7 linked regions of the Macaca mulatta genome follow. The protein of the gene in region 3 interacts with the protein of the main gene of each other region in a pairwise test. Links are inferred from orthologs where the notes say so. Each region holds a gene or a part of one and is shown on either strand. Other genes may lie near its edges. The genes, in order: TBP, SLX9, GOLGA2, POLDIP3, SYT6, RBM41 and PPP1R16B.

The links.
Region 1: the proteins of GOLGA2 (region 3) and TBP interact in a two-hybrid assay, tested with the Homo sapiens proteins (2 studies listed by BioGRID). The two-hybrid records come from large-scale screens. The link is inferred for Macaca mulatta from reciprocal best matches to the Homo sapiens genes GOLGA2 and TBP.
Region 2: the proteins of GOLGA2 (region 3) and SLX9 interact in binary tests that used the Homo sapiens proteins (3 or more experiments, as listed by UniProt). The two-hybrid records come from large-scale screens. The link is inferred for Macaca mulatta from reciprocal best matches to the Homo sapiens genes GOLGA2 and SLX9.
Region 4: the proteins of GOLGA2 (region 3) and POLDIP3 interact in a two-hybrid assay, tested with the Homo sapiens proteins (2 studies listed by BioGRID and IntAct). The two-hybrid records come from large-scale screens. The link is inferred for Macaca mulatta from reciprocal best matches to the Homo sapiens genes GOLGA2 and POLDIP3.
Region 5: the proteins of GOLGA2 (region 3) and SYT6 interact in binary tests that used the Homo sapiens proteins (3 or more experiments, as listed by UniProt). The two-hybrid records come from large-scale screens. The link is inferred for Macaca mulatta from reciprocal best matches to the Homo sapiens genes GOLGA2 and SYT6.
Region 6: the proteins of GOLGA2 (region 3) and RBM41 interact in binary tests that used the Homo sapiens proteins (3 or more experiments, as listed by UniProt). The two-hybrid records come from large-scale screens. The link is inferred for Macaca mulatta from reciprocal best matches to the Homo sapiens genes GOLGA2 and RBM41.
Region 7: the proteins of GOLGA2 (region 3) and PPP1R16B interact in binary tests that used the Homo sapiens proteins (3 or more experiments, as listed by UniProt). The two-hybrid records come from large-scale screens. The link is inferred for Macaca mulatta from reciprocal best matches to the Homo sapiens genes GOLGA2 and PPP1R16B.

What each region holds. Positions count from the first base shown.
Region 1 is NC_133409.1:1,477,876-1,480,512, reverse strand, and holds the end of TBP (TATA-box-binding protein), read left to right. Parts: intron 1-681; coding exon 682-776; intron 777-1,457; coding exon 1,458-1,537; 3' UTR 1,538-2,137; downstream 2,138-2,637. UniProt on the Homo sapiens protein: The TFIID basal transcription factor complex plays a major role in the initiation of RNA polymerase II (Pol II)-dependent transcription.
Region 2 is NC_133408.1:2,573,597-2,577,096, forward strand, and holds part of SLX9 (ribosome biogenesis protein SLX9 homolog), read right to left. Parts: intron 2,255-3,500; coding exon 2,139-2,254; intron 1-2,138. UniProt on the Homo sapiens protein: May be involved in ribosome biogenesis.
Region 3 is NC_133420.1:19,421,875-19,425,374, forward strand, and holds part of GOLGA2 (golgin subfamily A member 2), read left to right. Parts: intron 1-127; coding exon 128-178; intron 179-266; coding exon 267-360; intron 361-456; coding exon 457-563; intron 564-3,387; coding exon 3,388-3,446; intron 3,447-3,500. UniProt on the Homo sapiens protein: Peripheral membrane component of the cis-Golgi stack that acts as a membrane skeleton that maintains the structure of the Golgi apparatus, and as a vesicle thether that facilitates vesicle fusion to the Golgi membrane.
Region 4 is NC_133415.1:8,891,158-8,894,657, forward strand, and holds part of POLDIP3 (polymerase delta-interacting protein 3), read left to right. Parts: intron 1-918; exon of another isoform or gene 919-990; intron 991-2,340; coding exon 2,341-2,470; exon of another isoform or gene 2,471-2,889; intron 2,890-3,325; exon of another isoform or gene 3,326-3,397; intron 3,398-3,500. UniProt on the Homo sapiens protein: Is involved in regulation of translation. Is preferentially associated with CBC-bound spliced mRNA-protein complexes during the pioneer round of mRNA translation. Contributes to enhanced translational efficiency of spliced over nonspliced mRNAs.
Region 5 is NC_133406.1:126,143,492-126,146,991, forward strand, and holds part of SYT6 (synaptotagmin-6), read left to right. Parts: intron 1-408; coding exon 409-580; intron 581-1,800; coding exon 1,801-1,951; intron 1,952-3,500.
Region 6 is NC_133426.1:113,883,803-113,887,302, forward strand, and holds part of RBM41 (RNA-binding protein 41), read right to left. Parts: intron 2,829-3,500; coding exon 2,425-2,828; intron 1-2,424. UniProt on the Homo sapiens protein: May bind RNA.
Region 7 is NC_133415.1:91,672,496-91,676,592, forward strand, and holds the start of PPP1R16B (protein phosphatase 1 regulatory inhibitor subunit 16B), read left to right. Parts: upstream 1-1,297; 5' UTR 1,298-1,393; intron 1,394-4,097. UniProt on the Homo sapiens protein: Regulator of protein phosphatase 1 (PP1) that acts as a positive regulator of pulmonary endothelial cell (EC) barrier function. Involved in the regulation of the PI3K/AKT signaling pathway, angiogenesis and endothelial cell proliferation.

The sequences.
Region 1 (2,637 bases), on a different chromosome or scaffold from region 3:
ACACGCCTGTAATCCCAGCTACATGGAAGGCTGAGGCAGGACAGTCACTCGAATCCAGGAGGCGGAGGTTGTAGCGAGCCAAGATCGTACTACTGCACTCCAGCCTGGGCAACAGAACAAGACTCCGTCTCAAAAAAAAAAAAAAAATTACACACACACACCCCCCAATAGTCCATTCAGTCAGACAGCTCAATCAGGTATAGGTTAATTCTCAGGCTAGTATATCAGAGTGATTGAATTTCCTGAACACAATTGATAGCTAGAGAATATTTCAATTTAAGGTGAGATTTGATTAAAAGTTATAGTATCAGATCTTAGAAGTAAATGATTATTAGGTAGGTAATAGTAATTATTAGGATTGTAAAAGTAGGTGATTATTATCAGAGACTGCAGACATAACTACAGGGCTCTTCTTAAATCAGAAAATCCAGACTCAGTAGAAATGGGGTAAAGTGATAGGAGGGCAAATAGCCTCCCATCCAATGGTTATCAGCTGATGGCTAAAAGTTGGCCTCACTTGCTTTAATTATTCTATCCTTTGATGCTGCTTGAAGAACTGTGCTTTACCTCTTGACTAGTTTGCTTGTTTATTCAGTATTTTTCCTTGTACAGGTTCTCATTTTATTTAAAAGCACACAAAGCTCTTAATTTCTAAACTGTTTTTTGCAATTTTCCTTCCAGTTATGAGCCAGAGTTATTTCCTGGTTTAATCTACAGAATGATCAAACCCAGAATTGTTCTCCTTATTTTTGTTTCTGGAAAAGTTGTATTAACAGGTAAGTTGTAACAGGAAGTAGTATCTGAACGTTTCTGTTTCGAGTATGGCATTTTCTCAGTGCTGAAAAGAAATTTCAGTGTCGGGACAGTGGGCTAGCTTCTTGCACAAAGGCCTCCCACCCAAGTCTTATGAGAAACGTGCCCACTAAAGGCACAGTGAGAGCAGGGAAGTCTGACCACAGCCCTGCAAGCAGGTTTCCATTTACAGTCAGGAGGTGAGCACTGCATTGAATAGAAGATGGTGTTTTCACTTGGAATTAGTTATCTGAAGCTTTACGATTCTTCAGCAATATGATTATGAGACAAGAAAGGAAGATTCAGAAAAGAGCTTAGTTGAAGGCAGCAATTGGGAGAAAAAGATTCGGTTGTTATTGCCGTCCTGCTTAGTTTAGGGCCTGGTTCAGGACCAGGAGAGAAGTGTGAACACATGCCTCTTGAGCTGTAGAATGGATGCGAGATGCTGGAGTCACTAAGATGATTTTTTAAAAGTATCGTTTTATAAACAAAAATAAGTTTGTGACAAGGGGTTCCACCATTAATGTTTTCATGCCTATGCCTTAATCTGACTGGGTATGGTGAGAATTGTGCTTGCAGCTTTAAGGTAATAATAATTTTAACTTCTTAATATGTTAAGAAGTGCCATTTCGGTCTCTCATCTCTACTTCAACTTGTCTTCTTAGGTGCTAAAGTCAGAGCAGAAATTTATGAAGCATTTGAAAACATCTACCCTATTCTAAAGGGATTCAGGAAGACGACGTAATGGCTGTCATGTACCCTTGCCTCCCCCACCCACTGTTTTTTTTTTTTTTTTTTTTTAAACAAATCAGTTTGTTTTGGTACCTTTAACTGGTGGTGGTGTGAGAAGATGGATGTTGAGTTGCAGGTTGTGGCACCAGGTGATGCCCTTCTGTAAGTGCCCACCACAGGATGCCGGGAAGGGGCATTATTTGTGCACTGAGAACACCGCGCAGCGTGACTGTGAGTTGCTCATACTGTGCTGCTATCTGGGCAGCGCTGCCCATTTATTTATATGTAGATTTTAAACACTGCTGTTGACAAGTTGGTTTGAGGGAGAAAACTCTAAGAGTGAAAGCCACCTCTACAATTGATTGGACTTTTTAATTTTAATGTTTTTCCCCATGAACCACAGTTTTTATATTTCTACCAGAAAAGTAAAAATCTTTTTTAAAAGTGTTGTTTTTCTAATTTGTAACTCCTAGGGGTTATTTCTGTGCCAGACACATTCCGCCTCTCCAGTATTGCAGGACAGAATACATGTGTTAATGAAAATGAATGGCTGTACATATTTTTTCTTTCTTCAGAGTACTCTGTACAATAAATGCAGTTTATAAAAGTGTTAGATTGTTGTTATGATACCTTGTAAGAGTCATGTGATCATACTGTTTTCTAAAAAGTTGTATTTTAGATATAATGCCTGAAACCATTTTGGTGTCTGCTTGTTTGTTTCAGTCAATATTTCATTACATGCTTCAATGAAAGCAAATTAATGATCAGAACTCACAGTTGCTCAGGAAACGTGTATTTATTACCTTCTATATATTGAGCAACTCCTGTTTTCTAGGTACTTTCCATACGGTGCCTGGAATCCTCACAGAGCTGCAGTCAGGTTTTGTTCCTCTGTTGGAGGTGAGGAGATAATGGCCCCCGCTGAGACTTGGCTGAGGTTACACAGTTAGTAAGTGGTAAAAATTAGTGAGTCCTTCAGGTGTAGAAGCTGATGCCCTCTCCACAGGCTGCCAACTCTCTGCAGTAACTTTTTTTTGCTTGTTTTGTAGTTTTTTTCTCATGGAATATCAGGTGGACATTTGTGGGTTCTTAGGTTTCATTGTTAGGGTGGTT
Region 2 (3,500 bases), on a different chromosome or scaffold from region 3:
CCCCATCTCTACTAAAAATACAAAAATCAGCTGGGCGTGGTGGCATGTGCCTGTAGTCCCAACTACTCGGGAGGCTGAGGCAGGGGAATCACTAGAACCCAGGAGGCGGAGGTTGCAGTGAGCCAAGATCACGCCACTGCACTCCAGCCTGGTGACAGAGCAAATCTCCGTCTCCAAACAAACAAACAAACAAACAAAACCAGAAGATCCAGGGTGGCTCAAAGGAGAGGCCACAGGGCTGCTGGGCGTGACCTCAGCCCAAGAACACTGCGAGGCCAGATGCTGCTAATGAGGAGTTTCCCTGGTAGGCAAGAGGGGTCGTGAGCGTGACGCCTCCCTCAATTAGGAGGGGAAGAGGGGACGTGAGGGTCAGTGCAGCAGGTGGCCTTGGGGACCAGATGAGTCACAGGGGTTGAAGGGAGAGGGCCAAGAAAAGGCAGAGGAAAGAGGCCGCTGTGTGAAAGAGAGGCTTTCTCTGAGAAGCTCAGGCCAGAGCCAGGTCAGTGAGACCCATGACTCCCCTCCCCTTGGGGACAGCCTCAGTGGCCTCATCGGGAATCAGGGAGCGCACAGCTCGGGTGGACCACCCACAACATCGAGGCTTCTGGCTGGAAGGCACAGCTTCTCTCTGGAGTTACCTGGCCTGGTCACCTCACCAGGTCCTCCTTGGAGAGAAGGCGCAGGAAACCAGCACTGGCTAAATGTACCTGGATCTTTCCAGAGGCACAGTGAAGCCCTCAGCACCCATGAGCTATGTCTGTCGCCGCTTTGTGGACAATGGAGCTAAGGGTCAGAGAGCAACCACAATCACACGACACGCCCAAGGAATTAAGGCTGGCCACCTCTGGGCAGCTGCAAAACCCACTCATCCCCAGCCTTGCCGCCAGACCAGCCTCACTCAACAGATGCGGAGCGGACACCTCCACGGCCTTCACTGCACTGTTTTAAACGTTTCACACCAACTAACTCATCTCAACCTCAAAACTGCCAGAACTTAGGAGATAAATATTGTTACCACCTTTGACAGATGCAAAACCCAGGCCCAGAGTGATCAAGTGTGCAGCCAGAGGCTACCAGGCGGTGAGGAGCAGAGGCCCAGAGCCACGCTCTCAAGGGGCTGCCTACAGGCCCCAGACCTGGCTCGTGCCCTGTCCTGGCACTCCCAGCTCTGCAGACTGTGAAGTCAAGTGCAGTCTTCACTGTCACACTGGTGTCCCCAGCTCTGCACCCACAGCCAGGCCCTCTCCCTCCCCAACCCGTGGCTCTCCAAGGCTGTCAAGATGTAAAAAGTTGAGCTCTGCACCCACAGCCAGGCCCTCTCCCTCCCCAACCCATGGCTCTCTGAGGCTGTCAAGATGTAAAAAGTATTCCTTGTGGCCCTCATGGACTACCTTAGATGAGTGAAGGAAGCTCTTTCCTGGATTTATCCCTGGGAGTGACACTGTGTCACCATCCTCCAGCCAGAAAGTCAACACTCCTGGCGTTGAGCATGGAGGCCTGGAACTCTCTAGAACACCTCAGGCTCAGTAGGAGGTGCAGGGGACTGCATTCCCTGCTAAGCTCCAGACACTGGAGTGAGTGCGAATTCCCGGGCCTCTCCCTGGCCAGGCTGACGTGTGTGCTGCAGGGCTGCAAGGAGTATAATCAGGAGACAGGGAAGGGCTGCACGTGGCTCTGATGAAACTGACAAGACCCCACTTGGGCTTCAGGATCTAAACCCTAACGAGTTATTTGTACAAAATGATAAACAGCTAACCTCTGCAACACATAAAGCACTTGTTTAAGAAAAGGGATCAAAACTGCCCCAAACATAGAGACAGACCATGAGAATCAGCACACACGGAGAAAAGAGTTCAAACCCTGTTGGTCACCAAAGAAGCCCAAGTTCCTGTGGCTTTAGCGCTGCTGCCAGGATGCAGGGCAGTCCCTGCGTAGCTGGGGGGACAAGATGCAGCCCAGGGGCAAAACCACCGCTGCAATCTACTCTGGGGAATCACCCCAACAAACAGCCAGGGGCATCCCTTGCTCAAGGACATTGTCAGGTACAGGTTAGCTGGAAAGCTGCTGAGACCTCGGGTGTGTGAGTGAGTGATCCCAGATCTGCTGGGCATCAGCATGGCAACCCACGCACTTAAGACTGCTCACCTCTCCTGACGGAAGTGACACTCCTCACGTCCAGCTCCAGCTTCTGCACCAAGGCACTGGGGTCTATCTTGGTCCTGGCAAAGATGTTGGTGTTGATGAACGCCCAGTCCTAATGTCCCCAACAAAAAAGGAAGGAAAAAAACGGTGTGAGACTTGCTCTGTGGTTTCAGAGGGAAGTTAAAGGTGAGGAGAAGACGGAGGACAAGAACCCGGATTCCCCAGCTTCTCTGCCTGGGAGGACCTGGGGGAAACAGCCCTCACCTCCCAGAGCAGGAGCCTCCGGCCCCAGAGCTCCAGGGCAGACCCGCAGCACCCAGGCCCACCTGCTCCCTGCCTGAAATCACCAGATGGGCTTCAGGAGTCAGGACCAGTATCTCAAGAACCAAATTTCTTGCCCAACCGTTTCGTCTTACTCTTTCCACAACATCCTCCTGTGTCGCAGAAGAAACCTGCAGCTGAGCAGATGAAGGATAGGCAGCTCCCAGCCTGCCAGCCCCTTCAGCTCAGAATGACCACACCCCATCAGAACCAGTCATCTCAGCGGCCTCTCTGCCAGGTCTGTTTCTGAGCCACACTCATCCCTACATGAAGATTTCAGCTCCTCCAAGTCAGCTGTCGACCACACTGCGAGAAGACAGAACCCCCAGTCCCTGACCCCCGTGCTGCCTGGCCCATTCACGTGCAAGCCTCACTGACCTTGGCAGGGAAGGCAGCACCGACCTCAACAGAGGTTTCTGAAGGGCGTCAGAATACGCCACCCCCATGCCGGGCGCGGTGGCTCACGCCTGTAATCCCAGCACTTTGGGAGGCCAAGGCGGGCGGATCACAAGGTCAGGAGATCGAGACCACGGTGAAACCCCGTTTCTACTAAAAATACAAAAAATTAGCCGGGCGCAGTGGTGGGCGCCTGTAGTCCCAGCTACTCAGGAGGCTGAGGCAGGAGAATGGCGTGAACCCGGGAGGCGGAGCTTGCAGTGAGCCGAGATTGCGCCACTGCACTCCAGCCTGGGCGACAGAGCGAGACTCTGTCTCAAAAAAAAAAAAAAAAAAAAAGAATACGCCACCCCAAAACATGTCACTTTGGCAAAAGAATTATTTTGAGCTAAAGGCACTCAAAAATATAGCAGGTACCAAGAGGGCACATTAACCCCCTCCGTTTTTCCTGAAAGAAGATAAAATCCCCATGTGGAAAATGCCCTCCTACACCAGAAGGAAAGCGACATTCTTATCATCGGGGACGGATGAGAGGAGCCAAAAGCACTCTGTACAGACACACCTGGTGAACACAACCCCTCCCGTCCTGCAGCCTGCCTCCCCACGTGGTTTAGTTTTCCACAACCACCTCCATTCAACCT
Region 3 (3,500 bases):
GGGTCCCTGATAACCTGGTCCCATGGGTGGGCCGGTCCTGGGGCATTGGTGGCATTCTGGGGGCATGTCCCTTGCTGTGCCATCTCTGCCTCCCCCTAGTAAGAGCTCTGTCTTCCTCTTCCTGTAGGAAAAGAAAGAATGCCACCAAAAGCAGGGAGCCCTAAGGGAGCAGTTACAGGTGAGTGGAGGGGGTGAAGTTCCGCCCTGTCCTCTGGAGAATGTTTCTTTCCTTCTTTTTCAGCACTTGCTTGGGTTTCCTCCCAAAGGTTCACATTCAGACCATAGGGATCCTCGTATCAGAGAAAGCTGAGTTACAGACAGCCCTGGCTCACACTCAGCATGCTGCCAGGCAGAAAGAAGGTGGGAATCTGGGCACCCCATCATCCTTCAACCTGGCACTTTGACAGGCCTTTAGGGTGAGTCCTTTGGACCCCATCTCAACCTCTCTCATTCCAGGAGAGTCCGAAGATCTGGCCAGTCGCCTGCAGTATTCCCGGAGGCGTGTGGGAGAGTTGGAGCGGGCTCTCTCTGCTGTCTCCACGCAGCAGAAGAAAGCAGACAGGGTGAGTCCAACTGCCTGCCCCGAACCCTGGCAGCCTGGCTTCCCAGGTGGAGGAGTGAGCCTAAAGGTCTCTTCTGCAGGGTTGAGTGTCCTGCCCAGAAGGCAGCATGGGCCATTTGTCACTCCTTTTGTGTGTGGTTGTTAGAGGCATCCTGGGGCTGAGTCAGCTGCTGTGGGTGGGTGGGGGGGCACTGTGAGGAGTGAACACTGGACACAGAGCTCAGAGGCCAAGTGCCCGCCCTGCCCTTACCTAGCTGTGGCCTTGGCCAAGTCCTAGGTTGGGGAATGTGGTATTTGTTCTGTGAAGGTACAGAAGAGTATCTTTAGTATGTTACCATTTGTGTAGAGAGAGGGAACGTGTGTGTGTGTGTCTGTGTGTGTGTCCGTGTGTCTGTACATATGTACTGTGACAATATACATAAAACATGTCTGCAAGGATTCATAAAAAACTCAGGAGAGAGGAGCAGCATGGCTGGAAGATATTTCCCTTCTGTACCTTCAGAGTTTTGGACAATGCGAATGTATGATCCTTTCAAAAATTGAACAAAAGATTAATTTCCCTCTTCCTATCTGTGCCCCCACCCCCAGGGAACAAATGAACTTAGAGAGTCAGATATACCTGGCTATTCAAATCCCAGCTCTGTCTAAGTGATCTTAGGCAAACACTTAACCTCTAATACTACATATTTTTCATCTACAAAATAGAGGTAATAATATTGCAGTGAGCTGTCTCATGTGGTGGTTATGAGGATTAAATGGGATTATTAGCATGGTGCCTGGTGAAACACTCAATAAAGGTTCAAACAGTGGTAGTAATAATGATAATAACAATAGCAATATTATCTGATCTCTCTGGGCCTCTGTTAGCCAGCTGTAAATTCAATCTTGGCCAGGTGTGGTGGCTTATACCTGTAATCCCAGCACTTTGGGAGGCCGAGGTGGGCAGGTCAACTGAGGTCAGGGGTTTGAGACCAGCCTGACCAACATAGCAAAACCCTGTCTCTACTAAAAATACAAAAAATTAGCCAGGTGTGGTGGCAGGTGCCTGTAATCCCAGCTACTTGGGAGGCTGAGGTAGGAGAATTGCTTGAACCCGGGGGCGGAAGTTGCAGTGAGCCGAGATCACACCACTGCCCTCCAGCCTGGGTGACAGAGGGAGACTCCGTTTCTAAATAAATAAATAAATAAATATACAAAAATTAGCCAGGTGTGGTGGTGCATGCCTGTAATCCTAGGTACTCAGGAGCCTGAGGTAGGAGAATCACATGACCCCGGGAGGCAGAGGTTGCAGTGAGCCAAGATGGCACCATTGCATTTCAGCCTGGGTGACAGAGGGAGACTCCATCTCAAATAAATACATATATACATACATACATAAATTCACTGTCTTTTCCTGTCCCTTCCACTCTTACCAAGCTCTGTATTTTTTTTTTTTTGGAGACGGAGTCCCGCTCTGTTGCCCAGGCTGGAGTGCAGTGGCCGGATCTCAGCTCGCTGCAAGCTCCGCCTCCCGGATTTAGGCCATTCTCCTGCCTCAGCCTCCCAAGTAGCTGGGACTACAGGCGCCTGCCACCACACTCGGCTAGTTTTTGATATTTTTTTGGTAGAGACGGGGTTTCACCGTGTTAGCCAGGATGGTCTCGATCTCCTGACCTTGTGATCCGCCAGTCTTGGCCTCCCAAAGTGCTGGGATTACAGGCGTGAGCCACTGCGCCCGGCCTTTTTTTTTTTTTTTTTTTTGAGACGGAGTCTCACTCTGTCACCCAGGCTGGAGTGCAGTGGTGCCATCTCGGCTCACTGCAAGCTCTGTCTCCCGGGTTCACTCCATTCTCCTGCCTCAGCCTCCCAAGTAGCTGGGATTACAGGCACCCGCCACCACGCCCGGCTAACTTTTTGTATTTTTTTTTTAAGTAGAGATGGGGTTTCACCGTGTTAGCCAGGATGGTCTCGATCTTCTGACCTCGTGATCCACCCGCCTTGGCCTCCCAAAGTGCTGGGATTACAGGTGTGAGCCACCGCGCCCGGCCACCCTTACCAAGTTCTTTTAAAAACAAATGAGACCAGCTGGGCACGGTGGCTCACACCTGTAATTCCAACACTTTAGAAGGTTGAGGCGGGTGGATCACTTGAGGTCAGGAGTTCAAGACCAGCCTGGCCAACATGGTGAAACCCCATCTCTACTAAAAATACAAAAATTAGGCTGGGCGTGGTAGCTCACGCCTGTTATCCCAGTACTTTGGGAGGCTGAGATGGGTGGATCACAAGGTCAGGAGATCGAGACCATCCTGGCTAACATGGTGAAACCCCGTCTCTACTAAAAATACAAAAAAATTAGCCAGGTATGGTGGCAGGCACCTGTAGTCCCAGCTACTTAGGAGGCTGAGGCAGGAGAATGGCGTGAACCTGGGAGGCAGAGCTTGCATTGAGCAGAGATGGCGCCACTGCACTCCAGCCTGGGTGACAGAGTGAGACTCCGTCTCAGAAAAACAAAAACAAAAACAAATTAGCCGGACATGGTGGCGTGTGCCTGTAGTCCCAACTACTCAGGAGGCTGAGGCAGGAGAGTCACTTGGACCTGGGAGGCGGAGGTTGTGAGCTGAGATCTCACCATTGCACTTCAGCCTGGGTGACAGAGCGAGACTCTGTCTCAAAAACAACAACAACAACAAAATGAGACCATGGGCTTGGAAATGCCTTGAAAACATGTCAAGTGTGATTGAGAGTGAAGAAGTGTTACTGTGGAGTAGTTACTGTAGCTATTGTTACTGGTCGGCCAGCTGCTCCTCTGCCTGCTATATCCTGACTTAACCTTTCTGTGTTTACAGTACAACAAGGAGTTAACCAAAGAGAGAGATGCCCTCAGGCTGGAGTTATACAAGAACACGTAGGACTGGGGATGGTGGGATGGGAGGTCTGGGGGCCCTTAGCATGGGTGGTG
Region 4 (3,500 bases), on a different chromosome or scaffold from region 3:
GCTAATTTTTGTATTTTTCAGTAGAGATGGGGTTTCACCATGTAGGCTATGCTGGTCTTGAACTCCTGACCTTATAATCTGCCTGCCTTGGCCTCCCAAAGTGCTGGTATTAAAGGTGTGAGCCACTGTGCCCAGCCCAGCTGAGGTTAAACCTTTTTTTTTTTTTTTGGAGACAGAGTCTCGCTTTGTCGCCCAGGCTGGAGTGCAGTGGCCGGATCTCAGCTCACTGCAAGCTCCGCCTCCCGGGTTTACGCCATTCTCCTGCCTCAGCCTCCCAAGTAGCTGGGACTACAGGCGCCCACCACCTCGCCCGGCTAGTTTTTTGTATTTTTTTAGTAGAGACGGGGTTTCACCGTGTTAGCCAGGATGGTCTCGATCTCCTGACCTCGTGATCTGCCCGTCTCAGCCTCCCAAAGTGCTGGGATTACAGGCTTGAGCCTCCGCACCTGGCCTAGGTTAAATCTTAATTATGAAACACACACATGCTGTGAAATGGGTCCCTCATACGCCCTTCTCCTTTACAGCGACAGTGCTGTGAATGGTGCACGTGAGGATGGAAATTGTAGCTTGTTTTGTGTAATACTTGACAAGTCATTAAGAATTAAAGCTGATTGCTGGGTGCAGTGGCTCACGTCTGTAATCCCAGCACTTTGTGAGGCCGAGGCTGGTGGATCACCTGAGGTCAGGAGTTCGAGACCAGCTTGGCCAACATGGCGAAACCCCATCTCTACTAAAAATAGAAAAATTAGCCAGGCGTGGTGGTGCGTGCCCGTAGTCCCAGCTACTCGGGAGGCTGAGGCAGGAGAATCACTTAGAACCTGGGAGGTGGAAGTTGCAGTAAGCTGAGATCACACCATTGCTCTCCCGCCTAGGCGACAGAGTGAGACTCTGTCTCAAAAAAAAGGAAAGAATTAAAACTGTTTATAAGCGTAATAACGACTGCCATTTATTGAGTACTTGCTATGTGCCAGTCACTTTAGGCAGACTCCTGGGAGATATATAATGGTGGAAAACTGAACACCAGTCATGATCAGCACTCAGGGGAGATTGCCAGTAATAATCATCCTCTCTCCTCTTCTACCCAAATAGGCAATGTTAAAAGGACAATGGAAATAAAATTGGAATTACACCTACTATTTATAGTTGGCCCTTCATATCTGTTGGTTCTGCATCTGCAGATTTAGCCAACCACTGAATGAAAATATTCAAATTTTTAAAAATAACAGTATAATGAGAAATAATACAAATTTTAGAAATACAGTATAACAACTATTTATATAGCATTTACATTGGTATTGTAAGTAATCTAGAGATGATTTAAAGTATAGTGGACAGTGTGCATAGGTTATACGTAAATACTACAGCATTTTATAGCAGGGACTTGAGCATCCACAGATTTTAGTATCTGTGAGTGGTTCTGGAGCCAGTCTCCCGCAGGTGCAGAGGGACGTCTTGTTTTGATATTTACCAGTAAATCAAATCATGTCAAGGACCTTTTCATAAACCTTCTTTTGGCCCTCACAGCAACCTTGTGAAGGCAGTTGCAGGTGAAGAAATGGTGTGAGTGCTAGTCAGGCTCTGTCTGTCTTCACATTCTGCTCCCTCTCTGGCCTTAATTGTCTTGTCTGTAAAATGGGGTGGAGATTGGAGTCAATGATGTGTGCAAAGCACTGCTTAAAAATGATCTCTGTTGAGCTTTCCAGCAACCCTCGAAAGTAAGCTAGTTCTTTTTATTTTCAGAAGAGGAAACAGGCTTAGAGAAGTTAAGTAACTTGCTAGATGTCGCATAGCAGATAGGAAGCAAAGCCTGGGGAATCAAACTCAGGTCTGACTTAGAGTGACCAACTGTCCCAGTTTTGCTAGGGACTCTCCTGGTTTTATCACTCAAAGTCTTATGTCTAGGGAAACCCTTCAATCCAGCCAAACCAGGACTCTGGGTAGAACTTCAGAATTTGTATTTCTAACAGATTATCAGGTGACATGTTAGCAGCTGTCCTTCTTTGTATACATGTATTCTCATGACAGGGCTCTCTGAGAAAATTTTCATAACTATTTTATCCCTGTTGAGGTGAGCACTGAAGACTTTGGTGGTGGCTTGCTGGGAGATCCCAGGTGATCCAAGGCTTGTAAACCCAGCCCCTTTCCCACTGCTGACTTCATCTGGTGCTGTGTTGAGGCCTATGGATGTCTCAAGAGCACCACCTAACGTGGAACCTCCCTGCAGTCTCAGGCACAGGGGCATATTTAGCTGCAGTGGAGCCCACACCCCAGGGCCTTCAGAGTGTGTGAGTGGCAGGCGGTGAGAAATCCTTCCCTAATCCCAACCCCTCTTGTGTGCAGGAACTTTTCTGTGTGTGTGGGGCCCTCAAGCGAGCTCGACTGGTCCATCCTGGGGTAGCAGAGGTGGTGTTTGTGAAGAAGGACGATGCCATCACCGCATATAAGAAGTACAACAACCGGTGTCTGGACGGTAAGTTAGGGAGAAGGCAGCCCTCTGACCCTCCCACTCCTCTCTACTTGCTGTCAGGTAGCAGGCTTTCCAGGGGAAGTCTCTCTGAGATGGGTGGAACCCATCTCCGGGGCCTCGTCTGCACCAGGAACTGCTGTGCAGTCTCTGAGTAGTCCTGAGCCGTGGGTTACACAGGGCCCTGGATTTTCACCCAGCCCTTAAGCTTTTGAGCCCAGCAAAAAGGAAAACAGCGTTTCTCTGTGGATGGTTCTCTTAAGCGGTTTTGCAGGGAAGCCAAGAGGCACAGCCGTTCCCTCCCAGATGTTGATCTGCTTAGTGCTAGGGCAGACGTTCCTCAAAGCCCTGGAGTCTGGTCTGAATGTTGGCTCCTGGGTGAGAGCTGCTCCTAGTGGGTAAACAACAGACTTTATTGACTTGAGGTTCGTATTTTTCATCTCCAGAGAGCCTGTAGAGAAGAATTCTGTCTGCCATGTTCCTTTTCTACTCATTTGTTCTTTCAGTATGTATTGAGTGCCTACTGTGGACCAAGGCCCTGTGCTAGAAGTGGAGAAGCAGAGACTAATAAAACAATACAACAATTAAAAAATTACAAATAAAAGACCTAGAGCCTTGGCTAAATCTTGGCACCTGGGTGAACTCCCCTGGGTGAGTCAGTGGAGTTCTGATTTGCATTTCCCCGTGGCTAATGATGTTGAGCACCTTTTCATGTGCTTATTGGCCATTTGTATGTCATTAAAAAAAATTATTTTTAATTTTGTTTTAAATTTTAAATTTCTCTTGTTTTTTCTTATTTTGTCATATTGGATGTGGAAAGATACTTTTCTTTTTCTTTTTTTTTTGAGTTTCTCTCTGTAGCTGGGGTGCAGTGGCATGATCTTGGCTCACAGGAACCTCTGCCTTCCATGTTCAAGCAATTTTCCTGCCTCAGCCTTCCAAGTAGCTGGGACTACAGGCATGCGCCACCACGCCCAGCTAATTTTTTTGTATTTTTAGTAGAGATGGGGTTTCACCATGTTGGCCAGGCTGGTCT
Region 5 (3,500 bases), on a different chromosome or scaffold from region 3:
CTCAAGGAAAAGCACTCCTCATAGGTGAAAGAAATAGTGTCATTGTTCAGCCTCATCACCCTTTTGAGTCAGCCAGTGATTGACGAGCTGAGATTTAGGGCTGTGAACTGCATACCTGTCGGCAGGTGCCACGTCTGATTTGGGGCCAGCTTCCCCATTAGTAAAAGTCCATTAGGCGCTCTCCCAAGAGTACTGAGGTAGCTAAAGACTCTGCATTTATTAAGCACAGAGTGTCCTCAGAGACAGGTGTGCTACATAAATACAAGGTGGTTTAATTATTTTAACAACCCACTGATACCATCTGATGAGCAGCAGTAGGTCTAGGGCTTCAGTCCCTTTGCTGCAAATGATGTTTGCAGACATCTGTTAACACACTCCATTCCCTTTCCTCTGTCCCCATTGGCACAGATCCCTATGTCAAAGTGTCCCTGCTTTGTGATGGGCGGAGGCTGAAGAAGAAGAAAACAACCATAAAGAAAAACACACTCAATCCTGTCTACAATGAGGCCATCATCTTTGACATTCCCCCGGAAAACATGGATCAAGTCAGCCTGCTCATCTCAGTCATGGACTATGATCGGTAGGTGGGCGTCCCAGAAGGATGTGATTCCACCCCTCACTCCCACTCCAGCACCAGCACAGGGCTCCTTGACCTTGTGATTCAGGGCTCAGCTTCGGGGTTCAGGCCTCAACTCTATCTGTACCCAAGAAGGGTACAGGAGTTTGAGGAAGATCATGGATTCTCCCTTAGCAAAGGTTCAAAGTTCTTTTCCCAACTGGCCTATTTCCATCAGGGGCGGCTCTATCCATCAGTTTCCCTGAATTCACCCCTTGCTATTCCCATTCTTCCATCTGGCACCAAGTCCTGTTATCTGGCCTTCGAAATGCCCCTCTATCCTCTCTATTTCTGCTGTTGCTATTACTGTCACCCTGGGATGGCTGTGCAGCCTCCTAACTGACCCCTGCCTCCATCGATTCCTGCCCCAATTCGGTCAACATACTAGGGACACATCTTCCTAAATGACAGCTTTCTTCCTGGACCCGCCCTTCTAAAGAACCATCAGTGGCTCCTGTGATCCAGGCTTTTCCCTTGGACTCTCACGGCCTTCCCTCATCTGGAACCAGCATATCCATCCAGTCGGATCTCCCCTCTCTCAGATATTTTTCTTCTCTTCCATACCTCCTGCTTTTCCATCTAGGCTGGCTCAGAAACATTTCTCAACTGCTCCAGCCCCTATAACTCCTTCTCTCCAGTTGTCACTTTAGCTAAAGAAGAAAGAAACCATGCAATAAAGCCTCAATACAGGACTTTTAGCCCAAGTTCTCAGGCATAGTATTGACAAACATACCTAAGGGATAATTGATGTTCTTACCTAGTGAATAAATCACATTCCAGCCACGGGGGTTTTGGAGAAATGGTGCTCAGAGACGGTCGATTTATTTGCAAATACTGATGTCTCAGTGAGGTTGTAATGTGTTGGCAGGGTCAAATAAGTGAAGAGACTTAGACTCTCTCACCTCCCAAACTCAGGCTGTCTGCCCACCATTTCTTGAGATTCCAAACAGGTTTATAACCTTTGCTTATCTGCCTGTGTCTAGTGTCCACTGAAGGGGACCAGGCAAAGGCTTCACTGCCACTGACACCCAGAAGCCCTGCCAAGCATCTGTTTCCAGAGCTCAGAGTTCTGAGTTAGACCCATTGGGCAGAGTCCTACCATGCCCCCCCGCCCACCCGCGCTGGACCTCCTTGTCTGAGGGCATGTCTGGTAGCCAATGCTGGGACTTTTGTTTCTCCCTCAGAGTGGGCCACAATGAGATCATAGGAGTCTGTCGTGTAGGGATCAATGCCGAAGGCCTGGGTAGGGACCACTGGAACGAGATGCTGGCATACCCCCGGAAGCCCATCGCACACTGGCACTCCTTGGTGGAGGTAAAGAAATCCTTCAAAGAGGTGGGTGAGGTCGCCTGGCCCTTGGCATGTTTGCTGCATGGCAGTGTGGGCTGGAGAATGGCAGTCGGCTGCAGTGACACCTTCAGCCTTTTGTGGAAAGGTGGGCATGGGGGCCACATGCTTCTTACCCAGCGTGTAATAGGCCAAAAGGAAACAGAGGAAAAAGGTGGAGTCCACCGACACAAAGCCTCTGGTGTTGGGCATTTTGAAAGCAACACTGAGTTCGTAATGGAAAGCAAGAACTTTGAAGAAGACTTCCCAGCAGACCACTGTGCCAGGCCTGAAATGCTTTCACAAAGCCCTTGGCCAAGTTGGTCCTTTAGGAGAAAGCCCCAAGCGGGTGAGATCACAGCTTGGCAAGACATTCTACCCCTGTCAGAACAGTAAGTTCCCTGAGGCTCAAGCGAGGCAGTCACTTGGCAGTTTTCACTGCTTGGATGGAGATGCCAAAGAGCAGATTCCTCCTCTTATGAATGTTGGTTCTCGCCCTTGTTGGGGAAGGGAGCATGACCTCAAGGTGTCAGGCTTTCTGGCTAAAGCTGTGGAGCTGGGTTGCGTTGGGTTCTAACAGAGACGTAATGGAGAGAGCACTGGGCTGGGAGTCCCGAGACTTGGGCTCCAATCTTGGCCCCTCCTGACTTACTGTATAATCTTGACCCTGTCACTTCTCCCTCAACTGCAAAGAAAATATCCCTTTGAGTGATATCTGCAAACTTCTCCACCCTCCACTGAATCCCACTGACTTAGGATCCTGTATTCTATCACCCTGGTGGTCCCCAGGCCTGCTTTTTCTCAAATGGATTGGAAGTGTGGGTGACCAAACAAGGCTTAAAACTCACTCACAGTATCTCATGCCTTGGTCTGTATCCTAGAAAGCTGGGTGAATATTCTGTCATCTTAACAGGCTTCAAACCTAACAAGTCTAGAGAGCTGTATAAATTGGAAATTCTACTAATACAAAATAAAGCTTTATCCTTTTCACTGCATGGCCCCTCAGCTTAAAATCGGAGTCACCTTCAAAACAGAGTCATCCCCTCCCCACACTCTATGATGCAGAGAAGTCAGGTCGGCAAACCTAGAGAACCCACCGGCTCCCTGCCCTCTCATGGAGGACAAGCCCATTTCCAGCTGTTTCTGGCAGGGTGAGGTGTCTCAGGAGAGCCTGAGAGCCAAGGGGATTGGACCTGTGGAAACACGGGTGATAGGGACCTCGGTTGGTGAGGGGGCAGGCTAATTGATTCACCTCCCCAGACAGGTGGCGTGTGCTCTGTGCAGCTCCTGCCCTGTGACCTTTGAGGCGGCATCAAGGGGTATAAAGAAGCAAAGTTTCTGGCAGTTGAGACCTCATATTTCTATCTTGTGGGTGACTTGATTTTCCCATAGCTGTGGACCTTTAATGAGTGAGGCCAGTCCCTCGGCTCTCAGCTCCCCCAGAGGAGCCCCTGCCCCTCTTTTCCAGAAAGCCCTTTCTGCAGAGTGTGGGTGAGGAACCCACAATACAGGAGGCGTTGCTGGGCAGAACGCTAGACAACCTGCAGACAGCATCCAG
Region 6 (3,500 bases), on a different chromosome or scaffold from region 3:
GTAACTCACAGAAAGTTCCTGAAAGGCTAATAAATGTTAAGAATACATGCTTAACCTCACTGGAAATCAGAAACATGCAAATTAAAACAGTGAGATATCTTTTCAAGCTGATAAGGCTGGCAAAATAGTCTAATGCTCCAAAGTTTTGGCAAGAATGTGAAGAGGATCTCTGAAACCTTGTTCCATTAGAAATTGAGATATACACACCCTATATATCACAGCAATTCCACTCCCAGGTATATAACCTAGAACGATGATTCTTAAATTGTTACTCTCAGACCAGCAGGATCAGAATCTCTTGGGAACTTGTTGGAAATGCAAATTCTCAGGCCCCACTCCAGATCTACTGAGTCAAAAATTCTGGGGGTGGAGTCTAGCAATCTATGCTTTAATAAGCCCTCCAAGCAATTCTGATGCACACTAACATTCGAGACACTGTAATAGAATGACACCTTCCCAACACTTTTGATTGAGATCTACAGGAAGAACTGCATTCTTCATTGTGGTCCCACACACATTATCTCACATATACACAAACACATATAAAATAAAAGCTTTAAGAAACAGTAATTACCCTAACATACTGTATGGAACACTTTTTGATATTTTCTATTCTATTCCATTTCATTAACAAAACCCCATTGGTTGTAACCTACTAATTGTAACCTAAGTTTGAAAAACACTGTCCTAGAAAAAGTCTGGCATATGCACAACAAGAGATGTACAATAATACTTGTTGCAGAATTAACTGTAACAGCAAAATAACAGAAAGAACAAATCTTCAGGAAAATGGATAAATATAATAAATGATGGTCTATTTCTACAATGGAATACTACATAGTTCCTTGTATCTTTAGAAATAAATTTCAAAAGCATTATGCATATCGAGTCAAAAAGGTTGTAGAATGATAGAGTATGTCATTTATATACTTTTAAAACATATAAAACCGTATGTTATTTGTGAATATATGGCTATGTAGTAAAAATATAAAAATGGGCATAGGAATTATAAATAGCAAATTCAGGATAGTGGTTACATCTGGAAAGGATAAAGGAGAATGGGATTGGTGAGGAATATGTGGAAGTCTTCAGGAATATCTATAATGCTTTATTTTTTTTAATTAAGCAAATACAGAAAATATTAGGACTTGACAATGATTAATAAAAGTTGGCTGGCTACACAGGTATTTGCTATATTATTCTATATCACTTTTGGTATATTAATATTTCATAACAAAAAGTAAATAAAAACCAAGCTATTCTTGAACTAATAGCATAAATACCCCTGAACTATTAGAAATTCAGTCAGTCAAATAAACTGTTTTAATATCCCTCATCTAGAATGATTTTTTTTTTTAATTCAGAGACAGTCAAAAACTAACATTATATTTTTGGTTTTGTTTTTTAAATTAGACACAACAAACTATATGCTCCAGGGGCTTGTGTTGTCTCTTTGGGTAACACAGTAACGAAGAGTTTTCCATTCCAGATGTAACATATAACATGAATGTGAAATAATGATTTGATCAATAAAATAAGAATTATTTACAACGTTATTTAGTTATGCATTGGACAATTTCTTTTTTTTTTTTTTTTTTTTTTTTTTTTTGAGATGGGGTCTCGGTTTGTTGTCCAGGCTGGAGTGCAGTGGCATGATCTTGGCTCACTGCAATCTCCGCCTCCCAGGTTCAAGCAATTCTCTTGCCTCAGCCTCCTGAGTAGCTGGGATTACAGGCACGCACCACCACGCCCGGCTAATTTTTGTATTTTTAGTAGAGATGGGGTTTTACCATGTTGGTCAGGCTGGTCTCGAACTCCTGACCTTGTGATCCGCCTGCCTCAGCCTCCCAAAGTGCTTGGATTACAGGCATGAGCCACCACGCCCAGACTTGTTGGACAATTTCTTAAAGCTTATAGGACCTTTTTCACTTTGCTGCTTTGCCAACAGCAATTTAAGTCATATGTCATATGAAAGCCAGGTAGAGCATTCTGAAGAGAAGACTCATGTGGTAGCATATACCCTACTCACAACCAGGCAGTCAATTATTGGCTAATTCCAGAGGCACCATGGCTACCAGCTATGGTGGTCCTATGAACACTATTTTATTATTACATTGTAGGAAATTGGAGGTTACTTTTCCTTCAGTTCGGGGCTTCTAATGGGTATGGACTAGAGTCTTATCAACATTTCTTTAAAATGCTAAGGGTAATTCAGGACCTTAGCAAAGTACCAAGAACCTTATAGGAAATATGCTACTTATATAGTATGCAGAGAATGAATAGTCAAGGTCAAGGACAAACACAATCACTGTGCCTATATCATGATTCTTTGGTATAATCAAAGCTAATTTAAAAGTATTACTTTAGGTAGAGGTAAATAAAAGTGAAATCAACCCAGGTTGTTTTACTTGGTTTGGCCTATACCTTGTTTGGTTCCCCTGGATTATATGAAGAAAACATAGGAATTTTTCGGATCTCTTCCTCTGACAAACGATTTCTCTGGATTTCATCTTCTGGGACAAATTCTATTGGCTGCGTCAGCTTCTTAGGCCCAGTCCAACACTGCTCAGGTGAAAAATCAATAACATTTGCCACATGGAGACTGGGGCCTTTACCCTGTGCTGCCTGTTTTCCCTTGTCCTGGAGTAATGATGGGCTCTCAGCTGTGACTCTATCACCCACTGATGTAGCTGAGACCAGTGAGTGGGAAGCAAAGGGTTCACCTCTCATAAGTTGGAACTCTTCAAGACGTTTTTTCATTATCATCTCTTGGTAAAAACTTTCCAGGTTGTTCATGGGATCACCTTTGTTCTTCTTTTGGGGTTCATCTGGATCAAGACAAAGAGATAGGGAAGTTCTACAAAGCCTACCAATACAACTTTTGACAAATTAATAAAAATTAAATCCTGGACCTCAGATAAAGAAACACTGCTGGGGCAGGTCTTTACAACCTGTGACAAATGACAATGGTAAATAGTTATCTTATTACAGTATATTTCAAGCAAAACTATAGGCCAGAACTATGGTGAGGCAAGTGAGGCACCTAGGGTCATGCAAATATATGTACCTCTAATTGATAAGGACATTTAAAAAAAATAAGCAACATAGCACTACACTTCACAAAATTAATAATTCCTTAGTATCATCTAATACCAATGTTATGTTCAAATTGTCCTGATTCCGTCAAAGAATTTTTTTATACTTGTTTATTCAATTCAAAATCTAAAATAGCCTTTGGCTGTTATATCTCTTAAGATTCTTTTATTCTAAAACAGTGTCTCATCTCTCCCACCTCTCTATTTCATTTTCTCACTCATCCATTGATTAAATAAACTACATTTGTTCTATGAACAAATGAATTTGACTAATCATTTTCTGATGGTGCTGTTTAACTTGTTCCTTAATCCCTTCTATTTCTTGGCAGATAATCTATAACTATGCTACCTAATACAGTAGCCACTAGTCACATGTGTCTATTTACATTAATTTTTAAATATCAG
Region 7 (4,097 bases), on a different chromosome or scaffold from region 3:
CCAGGGAGCCAACCAAGGGGGCTCGCACAGTTCCTGGGGAGGGCCTGGGGGCCTGGAACAAGTTCAACCCACAGATTTTCTCTCCCCCAAGAAAGTTGACTGAGCACACACAAAATCACTAAACTCAGGTGATGCTGGTGGTCTCAAAAGAACATTGGTAGTGAAAAAAAAGGGATTCAGGAGAGTTCCTCAAACATGACAGCTGAGAATTAAATTAACTGGGTACCATCCCCAAACTCCCCAAACTTAAACTCTGAATTTCCCCAGCTGGCTGGCCCTAGGGTGCCTAGGGCTCTCATCTGTAGGCCGGGAAAGCTCAGGAAACAAAGCCTTTGTGGAGAAGAGAAACCTATTGTTCTAAGGCCAGGGTTCAGCAAATGTGGATTCCAGAGAATGTTTGGGGATGTTTTCTCCGCTTTGTTTATGAACTTTCTCTTCTCTTCCTGGGGTGGTGACGGTGGCGGTGGGGGGGTGTGGGGGGTGAGGGGGTGTTGACTCTCAGCAACTTAAATAGTTAAACCTATTGTGATGTAAAGAAAGGCTGGTGCACAGAGCGCAGAGGCCTTCAGCCCCAGAAAGAGGCTTGAATAAGGTGACAGAAGTCACCGGGTATGTTTTGCTTTTTATTTTTAGCGTGAAATCTCAGGGAAGCAGCCCCTATCTTCATCCTGCACACCTCAAAGGGTGGCAGACGTCAGCAGAGGTACGACCACTTCCTTCCTCCAGCGCTTCACCTCCCTTCTTTCCAGAAAGAGGAAATGATGCGAGTCCACGCCGCAGGCCACAGCCCCCATGTCTCGCCCCCGCCAGCTGGGCGACCTGGCCCCACAGTTCTGTCCCCAGCGCAAGGCCAGGGCCGGCCCCTGGACCTCCTGGGAAGCCTTCAGACTCAGGCCGCGCGGTACTTCAAGCTAGGAACCCTGAGTTCCTGGAATTCATTCTGTGTGACCTTGAGCAGGTTACTACTCCTCTCTGGGATTCAGGATTCCCGTCTGTCAAATGGGAGCAGGGATACCGTCCTTGGCTTCCCTCTTTCCATGGTCGGGGTGGGGGTTAGGAAAACTATTTTGGAGGAGGAGGCAGCATTAGGAAAACTATTCCGAAGCCTGGCCGCGTCCCAACCAGTTTCAACTTCCTGCAGCTCAGAAGAGGGGTCCCCACCCTCGAGAGCGCCGGGACCCTGTCCCGCGCTGCCTCCCAAGCCGGATGGGGTTGAGCGCGCCCACCCCAGTCCCGGGAGCTCAGGCCCCGCCTTGGGGGAGGAGCCGAGAGGCGGCGCGGAGGCTCGCGGCGGAGCAGAGCCGGCTCTGTCGCCGCTGGAGCAGCTGCGGCTCGGGGACCCACAGACACAGCCGGGGTCGGGAGCCGCCCGGGGCAGGGCTCGGGAGAGCTGGTGAGTTCCCCGGCGGCGCCGCCTCCCTCCTTGCCCTCTGCGGCTTCGCGGGGCGGGGGATGAGGATGGGGCGGGGAGGTGGTCCCAGCCTCCGATCACCTAGCTGGGGGCCAGGGCGCTTTGGTCAAGGGACGGTAGCTTAAGATATAAATGGGAGTGTGGGGACTCTGGAAAGGCAGGTACCGAGGGCGCTGGATCCGGGAGTCGGGCTGGAGTGGGGGCGTTCTCCCCGGCCTCGCAATTCCTTGACGAGGCCAGGGGAGGGGGCGCATTGGCAGGTTGTTGGCTGCGGCCGTCGTGGCCCAATCTTAGGGCGGGGAGGTGGGGTCCTCCGTCGGTTCTAGGCTCGTGGGCCGCCGTCTGCTGGGGGTGCAATGCCGGGCGGCGGGAGCCACAGCGGACAACAAACAACCCCCTCGCGCCCACTCTCCCGGCCGGGCATGGAGGTGCCGCCCCCTCGCGTGGCGGGGCTTGGTCCCCGCGGGCAGCGGCAGGGCACAGAGAGCGCTCCTGCCTGGGCAGGAAAGGTCCCCAAAGCAGGCGCCTCCGCCTGCAGACCCGCCCCGCCTCAGGATCGAGCTGACAGCACCAGTCAGCCCGGGGAGACCCGGCGCTTGGTAGTTCCCCGGGAGGGGCGCGCCCGGCCTCTCCCAGGGCCCCGTGCGCGGGCTGCTGGGTCCCCCGCGCCGGGAGCTCTCCCCTCTGGGCGACTCCCGCTTATCGATTCAGGCCGGGAGGAGCGCCCCCGAGCGCCGAGGATGGGCAGAGACGTGCAGCGCCCCAGAGAGGTCGCCCAGAGGGGTCTCGCCAAGGTCACCCGGAGTGCCCAGACTGAGCTGCCCAGACCGCCCCGGGTGGAGAGCGGGGAGGGGCAGGCGCTCGCTGCCCGCCTCCTTCCCCCATGCAGACTCCCTTCCTCCGCTCCCCCTCCCCGGCCTGGCCTCCAGCTTCACTGGAGATGCTGATGATGCAGCTCCCAGCCCTTGGTGGATAATTGAGCCTGGGAGAGCTTTGAATCTGGCCCTCTCGAGACCCCAGGGCTGCGCCGCTGCCGCGCGACAGGCCTGGGTCCCGGTGCTCCCGGGCACCTCAGGAGCGGAGGGAGAGGGATGTGGCTTCATCAGCGCTTCTAGGAACGGAAAACCGAGCTGCCTGCGCGCCCATGTGATTGCACTTCACATAAAGGGCCCCTGTTCTCACTGTCAGAAGCGCCCCCCAGCTCTCCGCGGCTCGGGGCACCAGGTGTCGCCTCTGAATCACCCTCTGTGGAGGACCCGGGGCCCGGAGGTACCAGGCGCCCTTTCCCGCAGGGCTCTCCCTGGAAAGGGCCTGCCGATGGCGGCCTCAGTCCGCAGGGGTACTTCCCTGTGTACTCTGCCATTTCCTGCGGCTGGTGAAGCACTGGAGAAAAACCCTCCATCTAGGAGGCCTCCTCCAAGGCTGGTAATAAAGCTTCTTAGCTCAGCCAGCGACTAGCTGTCTACTCGTGGGCAAAGTACTTGGCCTCTGGAGTCTCAACTGCCTCTAAGAAACTGGGGCTAACAGCCGCCAGGCTGTGGGGAGATGAGGGAGAGGCTGGGTGCAGCAGAGCCGGAGGATGAACACTCCTTGGCCAATACTGGCCGCCCTCGGGATTGGCTATGAGTGGGGCGTGTCTCTCTTAGACAGGTGCAGAAGTGGAGCCCTGGTGGGTGGTTCTGCAGGGGCTGGGGGAGTTTCCACATCTTCCTCCACCAGCTCTGTCATAAAAAGCCAGCTTGCAGGAGGCCGGTGGGGGCCAGCAAATCTTTCCAGCCGGCTGCCTGCTCACACGGCCCTTCCCACACAAATCTCCCATGCCCTTCTCTCCCACCTGTCACCCAAATCCAATCTTCCTGGCTGAGTCCCCAGGATGCTGGGGGCAAGGTGTCAACCAGGCCACCCTGGACCATCAACTCTGTACCTACTTGTCTATTGGGGTCTACCTAACAGTGTCCCCCTGTCCTGGAACCTTCCTGGCCCCAGCTCTTCCCAGCCTCTGGAATGTCTTCTTTCCTCTCTTTTGGTCTCCTACCACCGTGGCATTCATTAGTGGCTCTGTGGTTCATGTGTCAAGGGCCCCGTGCCATCTGTGCTCTCCAGATCATCCGTGGCCTGGAAAGACGTGGTAGGCAAGGCCCTGTGCCCACTCAGACTTTGCTCTCTCTGGTAATTGACGGTGGAGCGGAAGTTAAATTCTAATCTGGCTGTTAAGTCATTTCAGGAGCTTGAGCCACAGGACTAAGAGGATGCTGATGTAGGGAGGTGGTTTTTCCTTAAAGCCAGAACCTTTCTCCTTTCTGCAGAGCCCATTTAAGACCATTGGAAACTAGGCCTATGTGTAATGGCCTCACAGAATCCTCACAACCCCATGAAGTAGGCATTACTGATTCCCATTTTGCAGATGGGAAAACTGGGGCTCAGCTCCTCTCAAAACCAGCTCCATGCCCCAAGAGGAGCAACAGAGGCTGCAGCCAACCTGGTTTAGCAGAAGGCAGGAGGCACATACCTGAATTCAGGTGCCGTGTTTGGACTCTCAGGACCCCATCCCCCCAACCTTTCCCTCCCCTTTTGCAACCTAACCACCACCCTTCCTGCACCCAGAACACTTGTCACATTTGTTGAACAGTAGGTCCCAACTGGCACTCTTCCAGCAGAGACCAGGAAAACCTTCACTGTCTTGAGT